Linked DNA regions of Macaca fascicularis. The protein of the gene in region 4 purifies or fractionates together with the protein of the main gene of each other region. This does not show direct contact. Links are inferred from orthologs where the notes say so. Each region holds a gene or a part of one and is shown on either strand. Other genes may lie near its edges.

Region 1 (4,212 bases), on a different chromosome or scaffold from region 4:
TGACAGAGACTCCTCAAAAAATAAAAAATAAAATAAAATAAAACAGAGAGTCCAGGGGAGACTTCACTGAGTCTGAGTAGCTGACCTTTGAGCAAAGGACTTGAAAGAGGTGAGAGAGTGAGCTTTGCAGAATATTCCATGTGGAGGGAGGCCCTGAGGTAGAGTCATGACTGGCTTTGGGACTAAGAGTAGAATAAAATCCAAGCTTCACTATTTACTGTGGCAAATACTAAGTATTTACTAAGGCAGCCCAGGCCCCTATTCCCCCAAAAAACAAAGACAAGAAACGATCCTCTTTATCTCCTTTCCTGACACTGCCTCCGTCAATACATACCATCCACACTGGTCTTCCAGTTTAACAGAAGTTGCTTCCTACTTTTCCTGTGTTATGCATCTGCTAGGAATACTCCTCCAACCCTTATGCCCATATACAATTTGCAAGGCTGGTTCCTTCTCATCCAATAGGTCTCAGTTTAAATTTCACTTTAGGCCTTTTCTGACCACAGGACCTAAAACAGGGCTCTTTTTCTTTCTTTCCTATGTCAGTTTCCTATTTGTTTCTTTCCTGACATCTACCACACCATGCAATTGGGATTCATATATAAATGAATTTGACTTAAATCTCATTATAGTAAATGGCATCTGTCATTTAAATTTGCATTTGATCACTAGTGAAGATTAAGCATATTCCCAAGTAATTGTTAGTTCTTAGCATTATCTATTTTCTATATTTTGGCCAAATAAATGCTCATTTAAAGTCACTTTGTTTTAAGGATGAGAGCAGGGCTGACCAGTCAAAACCCTACCGTCTCCATTTATTTTGGGGGAATTTATTTTCCCAAGTTCCTGGCAGAGATAGTGACTCACCGTGACTATCTCTGCAAGAATCATTCCACAACCCAAACCAATTCAGAGAAGTGTTTCATTTCGATGACATCAAGTTGTAAAAACGGGCAAGAAAGTTGCATTTGAGGGGTACCAGGTTTCACCATTACGCAGCTAACTGAGCAATTGTTAATGGCCAACTCAATTATACGTTACAAGGAAATGACGGTCACAGGGAAGCTCAAAGCCCTGAAGCGAGTGAAGCCCTGCTCCTCACCGGCCCCTCTGCCTTTTCCAGGGCGCTCTCCGTCCCGAGGCAGGAGATGGCCTGGCTGACCCTTCGAGCTAAGGCGGCAGAACCGGTGCTGGGCTGGCGGGGCAGGGCATCAATGGTCCTCCGAGTTCTGTACCGTCCCGCCCGGCCCCTCCGCCGGGCACCGACGAGATGACGGCTCCTCTCGCGAGAGCTCGAGCAAGACCCGGCTCGGGGCGGCGGCTGGATGTTAGCCCAGCGCTTTAGACCGCGCCCCCTCTGGCGCAGCTGGCAGAGGCGCGGCGGAGGCACTGCCGCGAGCTGCCGGCGGCGCGCACGCGCAGGTGAGCGGGGCGGGCTCGGGAGCGCGGGGGCACGAGGGCGAGGGGCGGGACCTGCGTCGCGCTGCGGGCACGTCGCCGCGAGTCTCCAGTATTTAATGTCTCTGTGTTCCACCGGCCTGGGCGAGCACGTGGGGGAGCTGCGGAAGAGTGGCGTTGCGGGCCGGGCCACGGGGCACAGCCGGGGGCCGGCGGCGGCGTGCGGACTCCGCACCCCGCACCCCGACGGTCGCCGAGGAGCTGGTAGGTCGGGGGCGGCTGCGCCGGGGACCCCCTGCCGGAGCCCCGAAGGCGTCGGGGTCAGGGCGATGGGGAGCCTGAGGTGCAGGTGCAGGATGCGACGCGCGCTCCAGGTACCCCGGGGGTGGGACGCTCCGGACGCAGAGGTGTCCTGGGGGCTCTTGGCCGCCGCGCGCTGTCAGGCCCATCTTTCCCTCCCTCGCCTGCGCTCCCTCTCCTCCTCCCCCGCCGGTTGTCTGCCGGCGGGCTCCTGACAGATCGCGTGTGCGCGGTTCTGGGCGGCGCTCTGCGGCCGCGCCGTCCTCCCCACGCGCGTCACTGTCCTCGGGGGCGGGGGGCGAGGGCGCGGCGCCCGGGTCGCCTCTCTGCGCCTCAACTTTACCGGAGCGCGCACACCCGCCTGCCAGGCTGACCCGAGCGCGTCCCACCCAAGGTCGCCCAGCCCCGCGGGCGTTTACTTTTCAAAGGTCGTGTGTACACAGTCTGAGCCGGAGCTACCCCTTCACTTATGGAGCCTCACCCAACTTCTCACCCTCGGCTCGCCCCTGGGAGTTCCGTGCGGCGAGCCAGGGGAACCGGGAATATGGGCCGGGACATCCGCCGGTTGTGATCCAACCGTGTTTCGGGCTGAGGGACCGTTCGAATCGAGTTGGGGTCTGGAGGTTGGAGGCTCAGGGGCGTCTCGGGGGGATTTGCATTCGTAGCCCCCGCAGGCGTGTCCGGAGGGACAGAGGCCGTCCAACCTGGGGTGTCTGCCGACCTCAGGCCCGGGGACGCCGAGGGTCACGTGTCCGGAGCCGCCTGCGGCCCAGCGCCCCGGGTCCGCGATCTGGAGGGACCGTGCGGGTTTCGGGGTTACGATGTGCTAGGAGAGACAGTGGCTGGACGCCTCGAACGCGGGCTTTCTGGCGTTCAACTCTTTTGTGCCCTAGCTGAAGGTCTTCTTGTTTCCCTTCCAGGGAGGGATAGGAGAAGAAAGGTGCTGATCGTGGTGGGCCCTGCTGTGGCGACTCGGAACGGCATGGGAGCCCTGGGCGTTTCGGGATCTTCCTCTCCCGGGGGATGTCCTGGGTGACGGCACCTTCCTGCCGCGGTTAACACAAACCCGGTGGACTTCGCTCCAGGTGCTTGTCGAGGCCTCTCAAGCTGGCTAGGGTGTATGCGCAGGGCAATTAGTGAGGTTAACCTGGGTATCTTTCTCGTACTGTAGTGCGCGTTACTTAGTGTTTAAATTTGTCTCCAGTGAAATCTAGGCTGCTGGACCTGGTGCAACAGTATCTGTTAGTTACTGATCAAGGAACACCGTTCACAAAAAGCTATTAATTCTGGCAACTAGTAACCTTACATGCTCATGTAACTGCTAAGTCCTTCCCAAATTAGTACCCTTTTTTTAAAAAAAAAACTCTTTATTTAGAAAGCAAAGCTTGGACTCTTAGCACCACCCATCCACTTTGCTCTTAAAGGTACAGAACATCTTTGAAATGAAGAGGGCTGCCTGACTTGATCATTTATATGATTCCTCTGTTCTTGGCATTCAAGTGGTTCACCTGCTGATTATTTAAGACCCTGAGCACTGGAAGCAAGTGAAGTTTTGTTTTGGGAGCCTTTTGACTTGTGTTGAACCTTTCTTCTTTAACCTCTAACTAGTTTTGTAGGTTCTGCATAATCATTCCTGGGTGTATTCTCTTTGAAATATGGCCCTAGGTTAGAGGAGGTCCCCTGCATCCTACAGGTATGCAAATCACTAAAGCTCGAGTCTGTTACTGAATTAAATAGGCTCTGTCTTCATGCATGTTGTTAGATGGTGCCTCAGAACTTGCAGGTCATAGCCAGTGAGTGAGATAGGTCTAATGGATTTGCGTCTAGGTGGGGTTCCTTGTAGGAATATCTCCCATCTCTCAGCTGTTTCTAGGAAATGCATTCTCACTTGGCCACTGCAGGGTGACAGTGGAGGTGTCTGTTGTAAGTGGCCTGCTGAGGTGCTGAAGTCGGTATGTCTCCACTGTAAGGTTGCTGAACATCAATATTTAAAAGCAATTTATCTTGCTACCTGGTAACCCAAATTATTCTTGAGCTTTGGACATAGGCTGGGTTGCAGCCATATTTTAGGGGAAGGCTGGTGTTAGCCTCTACAGTATTCCCTTTTCCTGTCCTAAAGACAAATGGAGATCATATTTGTGATACTGGGGACTGTGATAGGTGCTTAAGCATTGCTCTTCCCCTCTCCTCCCTAAACAAGCCCTGAGACTGACTTTGTTTCTCTTGAATTACTTGAGTGACTTGAATTCTATTAAAAGCACCCCTCTCCTTAGCCTCTGACCCAGAAGCTTGTTTGGGAGGAAAAACAAATTGGTTTCCCTAAGCTTTGCTGGCTAGCCTCCTGGTCCCAGCCTGCAACATGACTTGATTGTGTGTGCGTTTCAGGGCTTTGAAGATCAGGCAGCTTGTAGCCAATGTACCCAGAGAGCTGACCATAGAGTTCCCCTAGGTCCCTCTTTCCTAAATCTTACCTGTGAGTCTAGAATGACTGGGCCTCTCTGTAGCTTGGTCTGT
Region 2 (4,342 bases), on a different chromosome or scaffold from region 4:
CTCCACTGCATTCCAGCCTGGGCAACAGAGCAAGACCCTGTCTTAGGAAAAAAAAAAAAAATCATAGAGACAGAAAGTAGACTGGTGATTGTCAGAGGCTGGAAGAAGAGGGGAATAGGGAGTTACTGTTTTAACAGGGACAGAGTTTCTGTTTTGCATTTGCAAGATGGAGAGTTACAAAGATAGATAGTGGTGACAGTTCAGCAATAACACAAATAGATTTAATACAATTGAACCATGCTTTAAAATGGTTAAGATGGAATGTATGCAGTATCTAGGTCCTGCAAAGGAGGGAGATGAGGGAAAGGAGAATGTTTGCTGTTCTGTTGAGTAGTTACTCCAGGTCAGACACTGAACTAAACTTTTTAAGATTCATTTTAATCCTTATGCCAACCCTAGGCTTTACACCAACCCCTTTTACAGATGATAAACACTGAGGCTCACGGAGGATGAGTGACTTGCCCCAAATCAAGGGGTTGTTAAGTAGCAGAACTGGGATTGAAACCCAGCTGGGCCTGGGACCCCAAAACCCAAGTGTTTGGCCAACAAGCACTGAAATGAGAATGGCTATCTGAGAGAATAATAATGGAAGTTATGGTAACAGCAATAAGCAGCATTAAAAGTATAAAGCAGCAGACTGTGAAGAGCAGATTTATATTTTAAAAATAGTTCTCAGGCTGGGCATGGTGGCTCACACCTATAATCTCAGCACTTTGGGAGGCCAAGGTGGGCAGATCACGAGATAAGGAGATGGAGACCGTCCTGGCCAACATGGTGAAACCCCGTCTCTACTAAACATACAAAAATTAGCCAGGCATGGTGGTGCACTCCTGTAATCCCAGCTATAGGGGAGGCTGAGGCAAGAGAATTGCTTGAACCCGGGAGGCAGAGGTTGCAGTGAGTCGAGATCGCGCCACTGCACTCCAGCCTGGTGATAGAGCAAGACTCAAATAAATAAATAAATAAATAATAGTTTTCAAACTGTAGTATAAAAAACTATTAGAGGTGCAAAGGACAATACAGGAGAGAAGCCATACTCCAAATATATTGGGGCAGTGGAAGTAAAACAGACAGAAAAGGGCATGATGAAATATCACAGGACCCAATTAGACAGGAACTGCAAAGCATCTTAATCTGTGCCTGATACATGAAGGTTCTCAATAAACAGAAAAACCATTTGTCCAAGTTTACCCAAGATAGGCCCTATGTATGTCTGCTGCCCGGGCATAAATATTAATTATTTTCACTTTTTTTTTTTTTTAAGACAGAGCCTCACTTTGTCACCCAGGCTACAGTGCAGTGGCATGAACACAGCTCACTGCAGCATCAACCTTCCGGGCTCAAGCAATCCTCCTGCCTCAGCCTCCCGAGCGGCTGAGACTACAAGTGCATGCCACCATGCCTGGCTAATTTTTGTATTTTTTGTAGAGATAGGATTTCACCATGTTTCCCAGGCTGATCTCACACTCCTGAGCTCAAGAAATCGGCCCACCTCAGCCTCCCCAAGGACTGGGATTACAGGGGTGAGCCACCGCGCCTGGCCCTTTTCACTCTTAAGTGTCCCAGTTAGCACAATAAATACCATGGTTACCCTTTCAATTAGGATCTGTTGACTAAAAGCAGCAGCTTGTCCCTAGTAGAGCTGGATAAACAGTGCAGGTTCTCAGTCAGGGCTCTCCTCTTCCTTCTTCTACTCACTCTCCAACCAGGAGTCCAGGACAACCACAGGGGCCAGCCCTGAAGCAGTGTAGTGCTCTATTAGGCCTTCCTACCAGACTCCAGCTCAACCAGCAATGGGGACTCCCAGTCTCTTGGGGCAGGTCCATGGGAGGCCACTCTTGGCCATTATTCCCTGATTCATATCACCTTTGATGACAGTAGTAATAATAACACTAATGGCAACACAAGATCATTTTTTAAGTACTGATTATGTGGCAGGCACTACAGGTGCCAAGCTAATGGCTCGACAGGCATCACCTCTTTTAATCCTCACCCCAACTCTATTGGGTAGATATTACTAGCCCATTTTACAGATGGGAAAGCCAGTGAAATCACTTTACCAAGGTCACACAGCTAGTCAGTTTACAGGGCTGGATTTGAATCCAGTTTTGTCCAACTCCAGCCACGGCTCTTAACCATGGCACTCCATTGCCTCCTGGGTGGCCACTATCTGACCCAAAAAGCAAAGTCTGGGCATATCGGCTACACTCTCCATAATGAAAACAAACCCTCAAACCAGAGTGAACCATCAGGTGCCCTCAAGGTCCCTGTTCCGCACCAATCCCCACTAACGGGATACTCCAAGTGGCCCCACCCTGGTCCTACTCTTTCACAAAACCGCTTACTTGTTCTTCAAGCCCTCTACAAAGTACGTGGTGCAATGCTACAGGCAACTGTGGTGCAGATCGTGGCTCCCAGCCCCCCAAAGTGTCAGCTGGTGGGCCCCCCAGAGACCCTCTCCGAAGGAGCCCACCCCACACACTTGCCCCTGGCCAGACACCCTCAAAAGCAAACCTCAAGGCCGCGTTAGCGTGAAACCCCATCAGCTGGAACCCCGGCCCGGTTACCAAGACCACCAATGCCCCGGCCGCACCTGCAGCCGCTGAGCGTCCCAAGGAGGGTGACGTCCTCTTCCAACACCGAGTCCATCATGGATACAGAGGTGGTGGCGGTGTTGGTGTCAGTGGCGGCGGCGCCACTAGTACCCCCCGCGGTAGCGACCCGCCGAGCTCCCAGGGTCCCCGCCCCCTCCACCCCAGCGCTTGTTCAGACTCTGGCGGCGCCGCTGGAATTCAAACCACAGACGCCGCCATCTTTCCCGGCGCTTCTTCCTACGGAAACGAGGCGGGGTCACCGAGGCGCACGCAGTGAAGCCGACCGGCTGGCGCCAGAGGACGGGCAGGGAAGCGGGGGTAGGTGCCATCTTAACTAAGGGCACAGCGTCCGTGTTTTTGCCAGCAAAACTAAGAGAAAAAAAAGGCCGGCTGTCATTTTTTGTGAGGGCACTTAAGACGAGGCGAGGGCGGGTGCCATCTTTGTTGAGGGCCAAAGCCGGCCCTAGTCCGTTAATTTACGCGGGAGATGGGAATGAATACAGCCCCTTAGGCATCCTCAAATTTCCTAACCTCGTGTTTGCTTTTCTGGAATAGTGACCCCAAAACTGGGATTTGACCTTGAGTTGAAACTCAGATAACTGAGTGCTGCCTTGCTTCAGAAAAATCCTACATGCGGAATCTCAAGGCAAACAGTAATTTGCAGACTTAGTTTGAAGCAAATAACTTACTCCCATGAGTCAGTGGTCAACAGCACTCTCACTCCAGTCACTCACCTATTGATCTTTTATTACTATTAGGACTCAAAAGGCACTTGTGGTCAGAAAACTGAGGCCCAGCGAGAGGAAATGACTCTCCCAAAGTAATTAAGTATTGACAATGTCTTTCAACTGGAGCGGGGTCTGCAGCTCCTGCCAACTAGATGAGGGCCCTCTGCATAACCCTGACTGCCTTTCATTTTTGTCTTTTTTTTTTTTTTCTTTTTGAGACGGCGCCTCACTCTGTCGCCAGGCTGGAGTGCGGTGGCGCGATCTCAGCTCACTGCAACCTCCATCTCCACCTTCACCTCCCGGGTTTAAGCGATTCTCCTGCCTCAGCCTCCCAAGTAGCTGAGATTACAGGCGCAGCGCCACCACGCCCAGGTAATTTTTGTATCTTTAGTAGAGACCATGTAGATTCACCATGTTGGCCAGGATGGTCTCGATCTTTTGACCTCGTGGTCTGCCCGCTTCAGCCTCCCAAAGTGCTGGAATTACAGGCATGAGCCACAGCACCCGGCCCCTTGGCCGCCTTTCTTAAAGCACATAGCAATCACCAAACACTTAGATAATCTTGGCAGAGCTTAAGCAATGAAATCAACCTTCCCCTCCTCAACTCAGTGTTGCTCCTTCCTCTGCAGGTGCTTGTGAGAGCACCGGATGAAAATAACTTGAAACCATTGGTGAGTGGATAGATAGTGACTTCCCCAGTAATCTTGAACAATTCCCGTTTCACCCTCAGTTTCCTCATTCTTTTTTTTTTTTTTTTTTAATAGAGACAGGGTCTCACTATGTTGCCTAGACTGGTCTTGAACTCCTGGCCTCAAGCAATACTCCCACTTGGCCTCCCAAAGTGCTGGGGTTATAGGCCTGAGCCACTGCACCAGGCCCTCATTCTTCAATTACATCATTAAGCAATTATTGATACTTTTCAAAAGAAGCCTTCCCTAATCATTTAATCTAAATCAAGCCACTTCTTGTATTCCTAGCAATGCAAATTATTCCTTTGTGGCACTTACCATATTTTGCAAT
Region 3 (4,243 bases), on a different chromosome or scaffold from region 4:
TGCGGTTGTTCCTCTTGTTCCGTGTCTGAATGCCTCTCAAGTCAGGAAGAGAATTCTTTATTAAAAATGGCCGGAGGGCGCGGTGGCTTAAGCCTGTAATCCCAGCACTTTGGGAGGCCCAGGCGGGCGGATCAGGAGCTCAGAAGATCAAGACCATCCTAGCTAACACGGTGAAACCCCGTCTCTACTAAAAAAATATGAAAAATTAGCCGGGCGTGGTGGCGGGCGCCTGTAGTCCCAGCTGCTCGGGAGGCTGAGGCAGGAGAATGGCGTGAGCCCGGGAGGCGAAGGTTGCAGTGAGCCGAGATCGCGCCACTGCACTCAAAAAAAAAAATGGCCGGAGGTACCTGCATCCCACCTAGTCAGGGCTCTAGCTTCCCTCCTCTTTGTGTGCAATCCAAGTTTTAGACCCAAGGGTGGAGGACCTACCACTGTACAGTGCTGAGTAAGACAGGGTTCTCACCGAAGTCAGCGAAGTTCCCAGTCCTTTCTGGCGCGAGCTGCATTCCCAGACACTCCAGCTCTTGCCGAAAGGAGCTCCGTCTTTTGCGCTAGTGTTTGTCTACCCTCCCCTGCCCTAAAATAATGAATGCCCTCTACCTGAGGGAGAGACTTCAGTGGCGGTAATCTACTCGCGGCTGGCTGCATCCTTGAAAAAGCACATTTCCCTTCTACTATCTTCAAGATCTTGGTTAACCAGATTCACATTGTATTTGCAGGACGCTTTCTCAGGTGACTGCTCAGTGCTCTTTTTTACCGAAAGTAGGGCAAAGTCCCCCAAGGGTGCTAACCCTCCCCCACCCACATCAAGGAAGAAACAGTCCTCTACTCTTTTCTGGACATTCCGGTTCAGAGTCGAGGTAAGGGTTGCATGGCCCCGCCCCACCCGCCCCTCCGTTACCAAGCCTTCCCCCGCCCGCCTCGCAGTCTCAGGGCCTTAGAACCCAGGCGGGGCGAGGCCGGGAGAGGTGGGGCTGCTGGCTGGAGGCGGCGGCGGCGCGCAGCGGTACCTAGCGGCGCTGCCCGGCTGGCAGCCGGAGGACGTGGCACTGTCCGAGGATCCAGGGGGAGGGGATTCGGCCTTCTCCTCCCCGCGAGGAGGAGCCTCGGGACATCCTGCAGAGGCGGGAGGATCCTTGAGGGCACTGGTGCGCCTTTCAGGTGAGCTCTTAGCAGATAAAAGCGGCTGGCTGTGGTCCGCGCCAGTAGTGCTTTCTGCTCTGCACTCCCAGTGAGCCAGGTGCGCAACCGGAGTGGGGGCGAGGGGCGTGCTGGCCACCCCGCATGCGCAGAGCCGGGAGCCCGCTGACCGGACTACAGCTCCCAGAGGAGCCTTGTGGAAGCCGCAGACGTGGAGCCGCTGGCGCCATCTTGAAATCTGATCCTCAATCCCCGAGCCTTTGAGTCTGCGCGGCGGGCCGCTGCTGCTCCGGGAGCCCAGTCTGTTAAAAGGGTAGGACGTTGAGGACGCGGCGGCTGGCGGGAGAGACAGCTGGGGAGAGACATGGCAGGGTCGGAGCGCGGCCTGCGCCTCTGTCACTCAGCATCCTCTTAGACGTTTCCACGCCCGCCCCCTGCCCAAGGGGCGGGGCTGACGGCTGTGGTACCCGGAGCCGGCGCACGGGGTAGGGGTGCACCCCTGCAGAGTGAGGACCCCACTGGGCTGTGCCATGCTGACTGGAGACCACTGAGGCGGGAGACAGAGCGCGGCGAAGAGCCATTGAGTGGTCATCCAGTAGCCGCCGCCGCCGCCGCCTCAGGAAGCTTGGCACCCGCTAGGAGGGAAGATGAAGGAGATTTGCAGGATCTGTGCCCGAGAGCTGTGTGGAAACCAGCGGCGCTGGATCTTCCACACAGCGTCCAAGCTGAACCTCCAGGTTCTGCTTTCGCACGTCCTGGGCAAGGATGTCCCCCGCGATGGCAAAGCCGAGTTCGCTTGCAGCAAGTGTGCTTTCATGCTTGATCGAATCTATCGATTCGACACGGTTATTGCCCGGATCGAAGCTCTTTCTATTGAGCGCTTGCAAAAGCTGCTACTGGAGAAAGATCGCCTCAAGTTCTGCATTGCCAGTATGTATCGGAAGAATAACGATGACTCTGGCCCGGAGGTCAAGGCGGGGAATGGGACGGTTGACATGTCTGTCTTACCTGATGCGAGATACTCTGCACTGCTCCAGGAGGACTTCGCCTATTCAGGGTTTGAGTGCTGGGTGGAGAATGAGGATCAGATCCAGGAGCCACACAGTTGCCATGGTTCGGAAGGCCCTGGAAACCGACCCAGGAGATGCCGTGGTTGTGCAGCTTTGCGGGTTGCTGATTCTGACTATGAAGCCATTTGTAAGGTACCTCGAAAGGTGGCCAGAAGTATCTCCTGTGGCCCTTCTAGCAGGTGGTCGACCAGCATTTGCACTGAAGAACCAGCGTTGTCTGAGGTTGGGCCACCCGACTTAGCAAGCACAAAGGTACCCCCAGATGGAGAAAGCATGGAGGAAGAGACGCCGGGTTCCTCTGTGGAATCTTTGGATGCAAGCGTCCACGCTAGCCCTCCACAACAGAAAGATGAGGAGACTGAGAGAAGTGCAAAGGAACTTGGAAAGTGTGACTGTTGTTCAGATGATCAGGCTCCGCCGCATGGGTGTAATCACAAGCTGGAGTTAGCTCTTAGCATGATTAAAGGTCTTGATTATAAGCCCATCCAGAGCCCCCGAGGGAGCAGGCTTCCGATTCCAGTGAAATCCAGCCCACCTGGAGCCAAGCCTGGCCATAGCATGACAGATGGAGTTAGTTCCGGGTTCCTTAACAGGTCTTTGAAACCCCTTTACAAGACACCTGTGAGTTACCCCTTGGAGCTTTCAGACCTGCAGGAGCTGTGGGATGATCTCTGTGAAGATTATTTGCCGCTCCGGGTCCAGGTATACAAAACGGCTACACAGTGCCTTTCTGATTATAGCTAGCTGGCCTCTGGCTTCACATGATTTCGGTCTAGGTGGAGGTTAGTAATATTCTAGACTTGAGAAAATTAGTCATGAGCCCATTTTTGCTGCACCTTTTCTGTGTCTCATTTAGTAAACGTGATTCGTACTCAGATAATTTGCTTTTCACAGTCTTTGTAAAATCTGTTGGCCTTCCCATTATCAAAATTGTATACCTTTTAAAACAAAAAGGTAAAGATTCCCACTTCACTTTTATCCTGTAAAAAGAAGACATTTAATCTCATTTCTGGCACTAGAACTTTTCCTCTTATCTCCTTTTCTTTCTTTTTTTTTTTTTTTTTTTTTTAACAACTTTTAAAATTTGTTCTTGTTTTCAGATTTATAGACGTTTCCTCCCAATGGCTTTCTGTAAGGCAGTTAGTTCTCTAGTTAGTTCTTCCCAGAGCATTGAAGCTTTCATCCGCAAAATGCCTGTAAATGATTAGAGCATAAGGTAAAAGGTTTGGGGGAAACCTATTAATCCACCAGTAAAGTATTATAACATCTGGACAATATTTATTATAATGAATAGTTCATTTGAGGATTAGTGATGACTCATTCATAAAAGAGACAGGAATTCAAGTATTCAAGTACAGTATTGTCACTCAAAACGTTAAGGCATAAACTGTTCACAGCCAGAACTCTGCTGAGTTCTACTGGAAGATATTTGATATTAAGAAAGGATTAACCCATTATTGGATCAGAGGAGAGTTTCATTCATTATAGTCTTGAATTCTTAATGACTAGAGGATGGCAGTTGCTTAATTTGAACCATTCATGTCTGCCCAATTGATTCTATACCAACCTTTTAAATTCAGCTATGGTAGTTTGTTTCTATAGCAACAGTAAATGCTAGGTTCAGTTAACTTTGTGAAACATACTGGCATGTTCCACTTGATACAACTTATTTAGCGATACTGTCACAAAGGTAGATGTGATCTAGAAGGCATTTTTAGAAAGCCTGCTACTGGTCAACATCATTCCAGAAATTTAGAGCTTGATAAGTAACATTGTTGATGGTCACATGAAACTTTTGGAAAGTAGTTCTGTGGTATGTATACTTTCTTTCACCATAAGAACCTAAGCAGAAAACAGGAGAAAAGTTTTTAAATTTACACAAAATTATGAGTAGCAGCATAGATGAGAAACAGCAGAGATGAAAGTGTCATGAAAGGTAAAAAGTCAGTGCGTTTTCATTTGTATAAAATGTATGTACTTCTTTTCTTTTGCTTTTCCTTTCAGTGGAGCCTCAGCTGAATTTGGGCTTTACA
Region 4 (3,560 bases):
ACTGTATATAGCATTACAGAAGTCACACATTATTTAGTCACAGTTCAGCATTTGACTCTGAAGTCGATTCAGCTGATAAAAATATCTCTTGATCAAAGAGACAAGACATTTTACATTTCTTTTAATTAGAACCAGTTATTATATACTTATTTAAAAATGTGATGAGTCACTTTTTTAAGGTTTAGAAGAAAAGCTGAGTTGTCTCAGGGAGAAGGAAACTCATCATCTGAAGTGTTTTAAGAACTGTCAGCGATTTGAATACCCAGAACCAGCAAAGAAAAAACTCCAAACCAGAACAGTCCTTCACCCACAGAAGTGTTTGTTTGCCTGTCATTAAAGCGGTGGGATAAATCTAGCATCTGCCATGACCTGTTTTATTGAGGAAGGTTTACTTTTCAAATGTAGTCATTCCAGTGGGGTTGCCATTCAGATTCAGATTGTCACACAGTGAGGAAATTGCCTCCTTGCACATCTTCAGAATAAGATCAATGATTTTATAGGTTGGCCTTTTTGAATACTGATAGTTTTTACCCCTTGTAGAAACCTTAATTGGGTATAAAAGACCCAGAATTTCCTAGTCCACGTACTACTTAAGTTCCTAAGAAGGATTAAGCATTTTCAGAGATTTTTAGTTGTCTATACATGTTACTAAATTTTATAAAAGTGGGCAGTTTGTCATGATCCTCCTGATGTATAATAGCTTTCTAAAAATGTTAGGATAATTAACATAATTGCTTAGTATTTCAAGCCTGCTTTTTAAGGGCGACTTGACTATAATAACTCCTTCTCAGGGAGAGTCGAGTAGAAAAGAAATTTTTCTTTTAAGGTCAACAGACTGGAGGTCTGCCTTATAAATGTAAGTGTAAAGATAAGCAAAAAAAAGCCCAAGAGAAAAGCATTGCAGTATAGCCTCACTCTGTAAATAATATTTGGTCACTGTTAGCCTTAGGGGTAACATGATCTATGTGACTGTACTGATGATTTGGAAGGGGGATTGTTGAAATGGCTTCAGGATGAAAGTATTTGAAATTCTGGACTTTATATGTCACACTGGGTGTGAAGAGATACGTTACTAATGGTAAATTCTTTCTGAGAGAGATAACTGATTATGATTAGTTTCTAAACCATTAAGCTATTTTGAGTCTTCTCTGTTTTGCAATAAACTCTGTCCATAAAAATGGTGTTATACCTGATTTCCAAACCTGATTATGTATCAGAATCACTTTGGGAGCATTTATGAAATACACATTATTGAGCCCTACATGCAGAGATCTTGAGTCATTCAAGTCTGGTGTCTCAGAAATCCTTTTTAGTACTCTAGCTTATTCTGATGCAGAGCTAGGCTTGGAAATAATTTCAATATTTGTGCTAATTATCGTAAAATTTTCTTTTAAAAGAAGTATTAGGAGTAAAACAAGTCCAAATTACAGCCAATACCAAATTGGGAAACAAGATGTTTAATTTACTAGTGTCCTAGTCCTTTTGGGCCGCTGTGACAAACTGTTACAGAATGGGAGGCTTAAGCAACAAACATTTATTTCTCATCGTCTGGACACTGGGAAGTCCAAGATCAAGGCACCAGAAGATTCGGGTCTGGGGAGGGCTTGTTTTCCTGTTTAACAGACAACGTCCTCTACTTGTGTTCTCACGTGGTGGAAGGGGCAAGGGAGCTCATTAGAATCTCTTTTATAAGGACATTAATCCGATTCATGAATGCTCCACCCTCATGACCTAACCATCTCCCAAAGACTCCACCACCTAATACTATCCTGGGTGATCAGGATTTCAACAGAGGGATTTTAGAATGATAGAAACATTGAGTTGCAGCCCATCGCACCTAGAGACTTTCATCTATACTGGCCTTTTTCTCTATTGCACTAGTTCGTTTAAATTCAGCCTTACTATGGTGGCATAAGAAAGAATGAATAAGACCTAGTATTTGGTAGCACATAATAAAATTGTATAATTTTAAAATAAGTGTAATTGGATTGTTTGTAACTCAAAGGATAAATGCTTGAGGGGTCGGATACCCCATTCTCTATGATGTGCGTATTTCACGTTGCATGCCTGTATCAAAATATCTCATGTACCCCATAAATATACACCTACTATATACCCACAAAAATTAAAAATAAAAGTAAAAAATATTAAATTGTTTGCATAGTAATTTATTAAATAATATATCCCAATTTTTACTTTATTAAAATGGTATAATTGTTTATTAATGAATGCCAAGCTAACATAATTATTGAGGCTTTTATTAAAGAATTAAAATATGAGAGATTATTTAAAATAAAATTTTTAGGAAAATAATTTTTTGAGCTGTATCCTTAAAATTTTTACTAGTTCTTCAACCGAGTTCTGCATTTTTGAGGGCATGTAGTATAAACATAAACAGGAACATTTTAGACTGTGAACATGGTAAACACTGGAATTAGATCTTACTCAAAAACATAGTTGTAATTTCTCTGTGCCTCCACATTAAAAAAAATTTTTTATGGGTACATAGTATGTGTATATATGTACAGGGTACATAAGCTATTTTGATAACAGCATACAATGCATAATGATGACATCAGGGTAAATGGAGTAGCCATCACTTTAAGCATTTATCATTTCTTTGGGCATATCTCCACATTTTTAAAAAGAAAATTTTGACATAATGTGGATATGAAAAAACATAGAGTACATAACACAGAGTAAAAGAACACAGTGCTACCATATATTTTAAAAAATGCTGTGATAGCGCCTCCTTGTGGGCAGAGCCCAACATGTTGGTCAGATTTCTGTTATGTATGAAAGTAAACATACTTCCTTAAAAAAAAAAAAAGAAAACAGTATTTTATGGGGTTCTGTATTATATTTTGTGCTTGATGAAATAAAAATATGAAATGAGTTGCATTAAAAATATACTGATGTTAATCTTTTATTTCAGAATCTTCAATCATTGCTTCTTGTAGGGAATAAAATAAAACTATTTGTATAGCTTTTCCCCCATAAAATTTACCTTTTAACTGTCTTTTATTTGATATTCTGCCTTTAGGACAGGGTAACCTTCAGGAGAATAATTGTGAAAAACAATGCCAAAAAGAGAAAAATGTATGAAAGCTTTATTGAGTCACTGCCATTCCTTAAATCTTTGGAGGTAAGTGCATGTTTATACTTTTATTTTATTTTGCTTTAAAAGTTTCTGTTTTGCTAGGAATATTTAGTTCTATAGAAAAATTTCCTTGAATAAAAAAAATTTATCCATGTTTTTATTTGAAGAGATTAAGTGGTAATGCTAGTTTTTATAACTCATTGTTTCTTCTGCTATCTATAATTGCATTTGTTTTGTTATTTGAAAGTTGTTTTGTATAATTGCATTCCTACCCCGCATCTATAGCACATGTATATGTGGTCTTTATCTAATAGCAGACGTCATACAATCACATAGATGTAGGCAAGAGCCACTAGTTGTAACTTTACAGGGAGGCGTTCTCTAGATAGAAGATGTCCTCTCTGGCCTCTTCCTCTCAGTCATCTTTGCTGTTTATTCCTCTTTTCTTCTCCTCTTAAAA

The links.
Region 1: the proteins of PRKAR2B (region 4) and AKAP1 purify together in Homo sapiens (affinity purification with mass spectrometry; 3 studies listed by BioGRID and IntAct, counting the BioPlex papers as one, with this or other methods). This does not show direct contact. The link is inferred for Macaca fascicularis from reciprocal best matches to the Homo sapiens genes PRKAR2B and AKAP1.
Region 2: the proteins of PRKAR2B (region 4) and CDK5RAP2 purify together in Homo sapiens (affinity purification with mass spectrometry; 3 studies listed by BioGRID and IntAct, counting the BioPlex papers as one, with this or other methods). This does not show direct contact. The link is inferred for Macaca fascicularis from reciprocal best matches to the Homo sapiens genes PRKAR2B and CDK5RAP2.
Region 3: the proteins of PRKAR2B (region 4) and PDE4DIPP2 purify together in Homo sapiens (affinity purification with mass spectrometry; 4 studies listed by BioGRID and IntAct, counting the BioPlex papers as one, with this or other methods). This does not show direct contact. The link is inferred for Macaca fascicularis from reciprocal best matches to the Homo sapiens genes PRKAR2B and PDE4DIP.

What each region holds. Positions count from the first base shown.
Region 1 is NC_088390.1:49,631,683-49,635,894, reverse strand, and holds the start of AKAP1 (A-kinase anchor protein 1, mitochondrial), read left to right. Parts: upstream 1-1,371; 5' UTR 1,372-1,422; intron 1,423-1,540; exon of another isoform or gene 1,541-1,662; intron 1,663-1,998; exon of another isoform or gene 1,999-2,321; intron 2,322-2,618; exon of another isoform or gene 2,619-2,783; intron 2,784-4,212.
Region 2 is NC_088389.1:37,410,321-37,414,662, reverse strand, and holds the start of CDK5RAP2 (CDK5 regulatory subunit-associated protein 2), read right to left. Parts: upstream 2,842-4,342; 5' UTR 2,653-2,841; coding exon 2,594-2,652; intron 1-2,593. UniProt on the Homo sapiens protein: Potential regulator of CDK5 activity via its interaction with CDK5R1. Negative regulator of centriole disengagement (licensing) which maintains centriole engagement and cohesion. Involved in regulation of mitotic spindle orientation.
Region 3 is NC_088375.1:114,058,717-114,062,959, reverse strand, and holds the start of PDE4DIPP2 (myomegalin), read left to right. Parts: upstream 1-1,402; 5' UTR 1,403-1,787; coding exon 1,788-2,912; intron 2,913-4,243. UniProt on the Homo sapiens protein: Functions as an anchor sequestering components of the cAMP-dependent pathway to Golgi and/or centrosomes.
Region 4 is NC_088377.1:148,683,610-148,687,169, forward strand, and holds part of PRKAR2B (cAMP-dependent protein kinase type II-beta regulatory subunit), read left to right. Parts: intron 1-3,043; coding exon 3,044-3,145; intron 3,146-3,560. UniProt on the Homo sapiens protein: Regulatory subunit of the cAMP-dependent protein kinases involved in cAMP signaling in cells. Type II regulatory chains mediate membrane association by binding to anchoring proteins, including the MAP2 kinase.